Linked DNA regions of Bombyx mori. The protein of the gene in region 2 binds, or shares a complex with, the protein of the main gene of each other region. Links are inferred from orthologs where the notes say so. Each region holds a gene or a part of one and is shown on either strand. Other genes may lie near its edges.

Evidence for each region.
Region 1: eukaryotic translation initiation factor 3 subunit J (region 2) and eukaryotic translation initiation factor 3 subunit L share a complex: the UniProt entries of both Drosophila melanogaster proteins name them as parts of the eukaryotic translation initiation factor 3 (eIF-3) complex. The link is inferred for Bombyx mori from reciprocal best matches to the Drosophila melanogaster genes eIF3j and eIF3l.

Annotation. Positions count from the first base shown.
Region 1 is NC_085117.1:14,771,245-14,775,577, forward strand, and holds the start of eukaryotic translation initiation factor 3 subunit L, read right to left. Parts: upstream 3,033-4,333; 5' UTR 2,845-3,032; coding exon 2,818-2,844; intron 2,648-2,817; coding exon 2,552-2,647; intron 1-2,551. UniProt on the Drosophila melanogaster protein: Component of the eukaryotic translation initiation factor 3 (eIF-3) complex, which is involved in protein synthesis of a specialized repertoire of mRNAs and, together with other initiation factors, stimulates binding of mRNA and methionyl-tRNAi to the 40S ribosome.
Region 2 is NC_085125.1:12,537,704-12,541,965, forward strand, and holds the start of eukaryotic translation initiation factor 3 subunit J, read left to right. Parts: upstream 1-1,219; 5' UTR 1,220-1,318; coding exon 1,319-1,334; intron 1,335-1,412; coding exon 1,413-1,498; intron 1,499-1,623; coding exon 1,624-1,737; intron 1,738-3,751; coding exon 3,752-3,893; intron 3,894-4,262. UniProt on the Drosophila melanogaster protein: Component of the eukaryotic translation initiation factor 3 (eIF-3) complex, which is involved in protein synthesis of a specialized repertoire of mRNAs and, together with other initiation factors, stimulates binding of mRNA and methionyl-tRNAi to the 40S ribosome.

The DNA.
Region 1 (4,333 bases), on a different chromosome or scaffold from region 2:
TGACATGTTTATCTAACGTTATCAATGTTTCAAGTCAGGAATTCAATGGTGTGTAGACAAAAAAAGTGAAGTACTCCAAAAAACGTTTATTACTCAAATTCTCAGTCATTTGTACCCTCAGTCACGTTCTGAATGTTACAGTCGCACGTCTACTTTTTTCATTTTGACTTGATTTCGGTGTTACTCGCGATCATTATGCCTGGCTCTCGGCGTCATATGGATGTGGAAACAGCAACAAGAGCAGTGTTTATGCTTCAGGAGGGAGAATCTCAGAGATCAGTGGCAAGACGTCGTGGTGTGTCGCGACGAGCTATTCGAAACGCGTGGGAACGCTTTCTAGAGACAGGTAGTGTCACGAGGAGATCTGGATCAGGAAGAGCCCGAGCTACAACCGTTCAGGAAGACCGGTATATCGGATTGACTGCACGTCGAGAGCGTACGATTTTCGCCCGCGTCTTACAAAATCGACTGCGGCAATCGACTGGTACACGAATTGGTGATCAAACCGTTCGAAATCAGCTCCATGAAGACGGACAACATTCCAGATCTCATGTTATTCGTCTAATATTGACAAGAGCGCATCGTGCAGCGCGTTTGAGGTTTGCTCGCGAGCACGCGGAGTGGACAACGGACAACTGGAGAAATGTACTCTTTACGGACGAAAGTAAAGTGAAGTTTTTCTGCGATGATCGTCGAGTGCGCGTGTGGAGAAGAGAAGGAGAACGTTTTTCAGAACCTTGCATACGTGAAAGGGATCGTTTTGGAGGTCCAAATGTTATGGTGTGGGCTGGAATAAGCTTGCTCGGTAAAGCTGAGCTGGTAATTCTGGAAGAAGGCCCCATAGCTGCCTCCCGGCATGTCGATCGAATAATTCGGCCCCATGTCATCCCATTTTCACCAAGAGTAGGTGAAAACTTCGTCTTTATGCAAGACAATGCTCGCTCACATAAAGCGCGAACAACCCAGAGAGCTTTCTCTGAGGCCAATATTACGGTTTTACCGTGGCCGGCCATGAGTTCCGATCTTAACTCCATTGAACATTTATGGGACCAACTGAAAAGAAGTCTCAAATCGAACTTCAGTAATGTGACTAATCGACAAGAGCTCATAAACGCCCTAAAATTGTGTTGGGGGCGAATACCCGAGGAAAACATCACCCACTTGATTGAAAGCGTCCCAGATAGGGTCAGAGAGTGCATACGGAACAGAGGAGGACCTACTCGCTATTAAGCACCATCAAACTCATTGATTAAGTCAATAATAAAAATCAAAATCAAACTTTACTTAAATCAAAAATTTCTGTCAACTTTTCTAAAAACTGTAAATTTTGACTAAATTCCATAAAATTGGCTAAACTTACTGTTGTTAATGTTTACACACTTTCAAAAAACTTAATTTATTCATTCCTAATCATAAAAACTGAAAAAAGAAAAATAATCTGTAAAATTCATTTAAAAAACATGGTGGGCCCTATTTTGTTTTGAGTAGTTTATTATGGAATAAAAGTGTTCGCTTCCCCATAATCATAATTAACCGGGTTTTCAAGTAATTAGACCAAAACGGACATAACCTATAAATAATGTTAGGCCCACAAACAAAACATATTAATCATAGTTTTCACACACCGACTTCTCCTCATTATCAGAGGCTCAAGCATCAACATGATTATAGAATTACAGAAGACTCAAGAGTTCATAAACAAAACATATAAACGTCCTGGCGTAATAAAACACTTTTAGGTTTAGGTACATAAAAACGTATGGCCACTTGCTGGGTTGCAGCCGCCGCGCCGGCTCGTCTATCGACAATATCATAAGCTTGACAGTTGGGTCTGCGTGAAACGGAACACAAAAAAATTATTATTTTCACTTAATGATAAAATCATAATTCAATGTGTTGTAAAATATAATATAAGAATATAATATACCCAGTTATTTAACTGTCCAAGACTTTGATATCATTTTTGTGATAATTGAGTCTAAAAACTCATGCATGAGTAATCTGTCTAAATAGAGAGAACGAAACGTCATCTCATGACTTTAATACGGAAATGATGCGAACAATTGTTCATTTACTATTAATCTTAAAATCATAATTCCAGTCCTGTACAAAACATTTCTGTAGTGAAAATGGTTGTAAAAAATGAGAAAACTATTTCGATGTTATTTTGATTCTGCAACATGCAACTTTGCTAGACGACTTTTGGTCATTCTCCTTTTACCTTATGAAATAACTAGATGGAAACTTGATACATAATTTGTTACTATTTCACAGATAGCTTATGAAATATTACCATCAAAATAAAACGTAGGTACAGTTCAAATTATGTAAAAATTTAGATATTTTGTGTATTATGACTGTTACATGACTAGGTTTCTGTTTTATAAAATGTCAGTAGTAATCATCAATGAATCTCTATATCGTTTAAAAACCATTCTATAATATGATGCATTCATAAACTATTCCATGTTTGCAAACCATAGCATCAAAATATGGTATTTTTATAACGTTATGTTATGATATAGTACTTAAATATGAGATGAGAACTTACCATGTCAGGCATTTTATAATAAGAAGACCTGTCATATTCCGGCTCGTAGTGTTCTGTGGACTGTGCTTCATAGTCGCCATAGGATTCGTAACCTCCCTGGAATAACACAAATATATATTTATAATATTGTGTATATACTTATTTACATATTTACCAGGATATGTGGTAATGTTGGTGAGCCATCAATATCAGCATTCCACAGACGTCCAATGTTGGCCATAGGTTGAATTTTTACTGTATATTTTAATATTGAAAAATATAGATACCTCATTATAATCGTCGCTGGAATACATGGTTGTTAATAGAATCTAACAGTATTCATACGTTAGAGTTTATGCGTCTGAACGAGTATTTAATTTGAGAATAACCTATTCAGCCATTCGCAATTTCGTATACGTTCTCCTATCCAATCATAGACATTTTTTTTTGGTACAGTTTTTCCTTATTAGGAAAGACAAGGAGATCTAAGGTCATACAGCCTCATCTGCTCTATATAATTTCTGAAATAAATTTTCAAAAAAGCCGAAGGCAGGTCTTGTGTGTTTTATATTATATCCTGAAATAAAAATTTCATTAAGGTCGAAGCCAAGTCCTTTATAATTTCTTCCTGAAATAAAAATTTCAATAAGGCCGAAGCCAACCATAGACAATACACATTATGTTCAATGTGCACAGCTTTTTTTTTTTTGAAGATTTATGGCATGTTAGCAAGATCTTTAAGCAAAGTGTTATTTCTTTTTTTACACTGTTTAATTATAGTGAATGATCTGAAGTTGGTTAATTTAAGTATTTAATTAATCGGTTGGGTTCTATGCTTGCGAACAATCATAGGAAGACCCAAGGACATGGAGGACAAGTTCAAAAAAATTTCAGCCATAAGCAGCAAATCACAACTTAAAAACCCAGTAAAAAAAGTGCGTACGCGTAGCCAGTGGTATGATATGAATTTCGCAGTTGCAAACGAAGTGAAGTGTGCTGACTTGAAAAATGTATCAATAGCTTTAACGCTATTTTCGAAGTTAAGCCACTTGCTATGATTGCACACAAATTAGTCGGTTTTAGACGGACACTTTTTCAAACACATAAAGAGCACTTTATCGTCCATATTATGAACAACATCGATAAAACTTAAGATTGTTTTTTTTTGTTTTCCTACCTAAGCTGATGGTCTTGAGATACCATATCAGGGTGAGCGCACGGGGCTCAAATTTGACGTTGTTGCTAACACGAACCCCAGTAAGAACCGTGCTTCGCAGAATCTATCACCGGATCGGAAACGCGATCCACTGAAAATATCCAGCGAGAAACTCAGTGGGCTGTGTCTTTAGGTTAATTTACTAGCCGAGCCATCCGTCATTCGACGAGAACGATGACTGGTGCTTGGGATACCTAAAAGCACCGTTAGTGGATTGGGAGGATCTGAAATGACGTGAAAATTAAGAACAATAGATTGTTTGTTTATTTGATTGAACGCGTTAATCTCAGGAACTACTGGTCCGATTTGAAAAAATATTTTAGTTTTATATAGCTCATTCATTCAGAAATACTATATAGAGGCTATATAACATCATGCTAAGACCACTACAAGCGGAGCACCAATAAAGAAAATTTGAAACATTTCAAAATGAGGGTATTTTTCTGTTTTGAAAGCTTCTGCTGCGTGCGCTGTGGAAACGGTTAAAGTTTCGCTAAAACAATGTATGACCAAATTGTTCTCCTATAAAGTTCTAAAAAACCTTTTCTACTACGACGGATCTATATTTTTATGTTTGCTCACTATAA
Region 2 (4,262 bases):
CCATGGGCGACGGTAACCACTCACCATCAGGTGGGCCGTATGCTCGTCTGCCTACAAGGGCAATAAAAAAAAAGCAGTAGGCAACAATCAAACTGGTATACATAATTTAATATATACTATCTAAACGGAAACATAATATGAATCAGGGCCCATGGGCAATACTTCTTGTGGCAGCACCGTTGAAAGACGACCGCCCCATTTAAACAAGCGCAGCGATCCTTCATAACCACTCTCGATGCTTTTAGGCATCACAAGCATCGGTCAACTTATTCGTTGAACCCGTTCAAGCGATGAAGGGCTCGGCGAGTAAATTAACTCACAGACACAGCGCACTGAGTTTCTCGCCGGAATTTCTCAGTGGGTTGCGATTCCGATCTGGTGTAGATTCAGCCAAGCAGTGTCCTGGTTAAGGCTAATGTTTGCAAATTATTCAGGCTGACCACCATGAGCTCGTTCTACACGTAGCCATAAGTAGGTCAAAAAAAAGGACGAGTACGACATCAAACACGCAACAACCAATACCTCAATTCCGTCCACCCCAGTGCTACACCGCTCAGCGTTGAGTGCATCTCAACATGCTCTAACACCATCACACACAAATGTATGTACTGTCTGGTGTTTTTAAATGCGTACAAAAATATTTCTGTCAATACAACACATCAGAGAAAACTATAATAGACTCAAATCTATTTTTTGTGATGTAGGGATAGCTGGCGGTCCCAAGGTCTTTCTAGTTTCAATAGCTAAAACGGCTAAATGAGTACGAAATAGTCTTGGGAGCTTCAAAATACACAACGAGAACACTCTTTTTAATTAGGAAAATACATTATTTTACTCTTAAATTAAAATACAAAACAATTTTTTTAAACTTGTAATATTTTTCTATTCGTTTCATTTCACCATTTATACTGATAGCTGACAAGATTTTTCATAAAATGATCCTGTATAGGCTAAGACCCTTTCGCCTGTTTCGTGAGATAAATAAAATATAACACTGTCGGCCATATTGAAAATTTTAGTAAATCGGGAATTATCGTCTGCAATGGATTCTTACTTTTCTAAATCAATTTGTGAACATACGTCTGTTGGGGCTTCGCCAATATTATGTCATTTGTTCATTGTTTTTCAATCCGACCGTGATAATTGCAGAAAATCGTCTTCAGTTTGACGAATTACACTCGAGTTTTGTTGTTGTCTAGAAAACGACGACTCTGGAGACATCTTGTGAGTGATAAGTCACTGTCGATAGTTGTCCGATTTTGGTGTTCAGGTGAAAAGTTTTCATATTAATTCAGCTGCTGATTCTGGAGTCCTAAAAATGGACGTGTCATGGGGTACGTACTGTTTAATACAATAACAAAATAGATTTTATAAATATCTACATTCGTAATGTCAATCGTGGTACATTCCAGACGCAGATAACTTCGAGCCCAAACTCCCGACCACGTTGGCAGCTTCCAACAAATGGGAAGGGGAAGACGAGGATGATAACGTAAAGGTAATCATTGGTGTGCCAAGTAGTTTGTATACAGTGTTCTAACTTCTAAATGTATTACGAATCTTCTCAAAACAGTACATAACCTAAATGACTGCCTACGTGTTGACGTCAGACTTTATTCGCAGGAAAGCTGGGAGGATGAGGAGGAGGAAAAGAAAGACGAAGAAAAGACTGAGGCAGCGCCACCTCCACAACCGAAACCTAAAAAGAAAATACACGATAAAATAGCCGAAAGAGAGGTATAGTGCTTTTAAAACATATGTTTAATGATTTAGAGATTTTATAGTCTAAACTCTACTAGAATAGCTTCTAGTTTATAGAATAGATAATTATAATTATATGGTAACATAAATTACTACCCATTTAGTGGTATTTTAACACATGAACTTAATAGTTTTGTTACACATAAACTTGGTAATGTTGAGCATTGTTGAAGCCAATTGCATCCTCTATTAACCAAAAGTTGTCTAAAAATAATTTTAAAACATTTAATTGCATTGTATACATACCAAAAATAGAAATAAGATTTGAAGGAAAAATAATATATGTAGTCTATTGTAAAATTTAAGACTTAATATATAGACACTGATATTTATTGCCTGCTTCGCCATGATCATCCATCTAGTGGAATAGATAAAATATGCACTCCATTTGAAATCAGTTTAAATGTTCTTTTTTTTATAATACCAATCACTGGCAAATTATCTTAATTATCATCTTCTTCTTTGTTCTTTCTCTCTCTGCTGGGGTGTAGGGCTCGAATCATATTCTTTCGTTTGCAGTCAATGGTATTTTTTTAATTAATAGTGAAGAAAAAACTGATAAATAAAAAAAACTAAATCTGTTGACAAACAGAAGAGAAAATTTTATTTAGCTTTTTATTGTACCCATCTATGTATAAATTAGATTCACATAATCATTAGATACCTATCGAGTTTAACATTAGCCAGTGTTTGTCTAAAATTTGTTTTGCAAAAGTCATTGACGCTTATTTATATAAAATTCGTGGAGATAACTTATTATATTATGAAATTACAGTAACTGTATGTACTGCTCTGATGCAAATTTCAACTATAAATATTTACACAAAAAATAATTAAAAAGGACAAGTTAAATACAAATAATTTATAATAAATATCAAGGTTCCAGTATGCATAAAGAAGGTTAACAAGATAGATTACTCATGGATTATCATCACCTTGCAATTAATATTAAATTCATTTGACAGCATAAAATATCAGAATAATAATTAAAATATATTAAGAACCCATTAATTATTAATATTTAAAAAACAACAGAAAAGAAATCTGGTGCTAGTGAGGGTGTTCCTGTTAGGTAACATAAAAAGTGGAATTTAAAAATAACATTTTGCTAGCAATTGTTCACTCAGTAATGATAGCTGACGATCCCACTCAGTCATCATATATCATCTTCCTTGACATATTGTGTGTCAACATCTGGTTATGACTGATTATGTGCTCAAATATGGTTAGGGAAGCCACATTTTGTCTTGAAGGGTCTGTTGCAGGGTGCACAATACAACAGCCCATCAGCATTCTACATAAAGTATAGGAGGAAGGCCAAATTTTGTATACACTTTTTTTTTTCAAATCTTGAGACAGCTTTGTGAGCATATCTGTATCATTCTGGACTCCGTTGTGTGCGATATTAGACACAGTTGGATGACATTCTAAAACATCCCCTGTAACATTAGCATTGCCCTCCAGGTGCTCACTGTTCATAATTCAGCTGTTAGTAAAAGACAAATCTAGGAAACTTAGAGTCATCCACACTTGTTGGAAGTGCTTCAATACTATTTACCTTCATCCTCAATATCTCAGTTTGAGACTTGATCTTGCCGCTTTATGCAAAGTATGGATGTTACACACTTTATGTTGATGGTGTTGCTTGATATCACCTCTGTAGTCCTGGTGGCATAAAGCGTATTGCTTTATTACCTTATATACAGCGATCATTGTGTGCAGACAAAGGTCATGTGAGGCCCTGACTCTTTTGCACAGCATTCAACACCCTTTGCAATTCATGAGGAATTTGTATTAAAATTTTGTATAGGGTATGACAATATTAAGTTAAAGGTTAACTTACATCATGTTTGGGATAATAACCAAATCTAAAATACGATAATTCACCAGAAAAATGAACATAGTTTCATAACTTCATAGAATTGACAGGCTATAGTTGCTCTTGAATTGATATAATATCCATAATATTTAAATTATAAAATTTTACTAGCGACAAGAACGTGAGAAGGCTGAACGTCTCGTGACAGAGAAGACTGCAGAAGAAATGACTCCAGAGCAGAAGTTGGCTGAGAAACTTCGCCAGCAGAAGCTACAGGAAGAATCAGATTTGCGACTAGCCATGGAAACCTTTGGTATGCTTGATTGATTTGGTGTGCTCGTATTACAGTTTGTGGATTCCAAAATAAGATTCATTTTAAGCAATAATTAGTAGACATTCTAAAAGAGGGTTTATAATCCCTAATATAATGAAGTTGTTGTGGCCTAATGGATAAGATGTCCGGTGCATTCGTGTTGAGCGATGTACCGATGTTCGAATCTCAGGCGGGTACCAATTTTTCTAATGAAATACGTACTCAGCAAATGTTCACGACTGATTTCCACAGTGAAGGAATAACATTGTGTAATAAAAATGAAACCCGCAAAATTATAATTTGCGTAATTACTGGTGGTAGGACCTCTTGTGAGTCCGCGCGGGTAGGTACCACCACCCTGCCTATTTC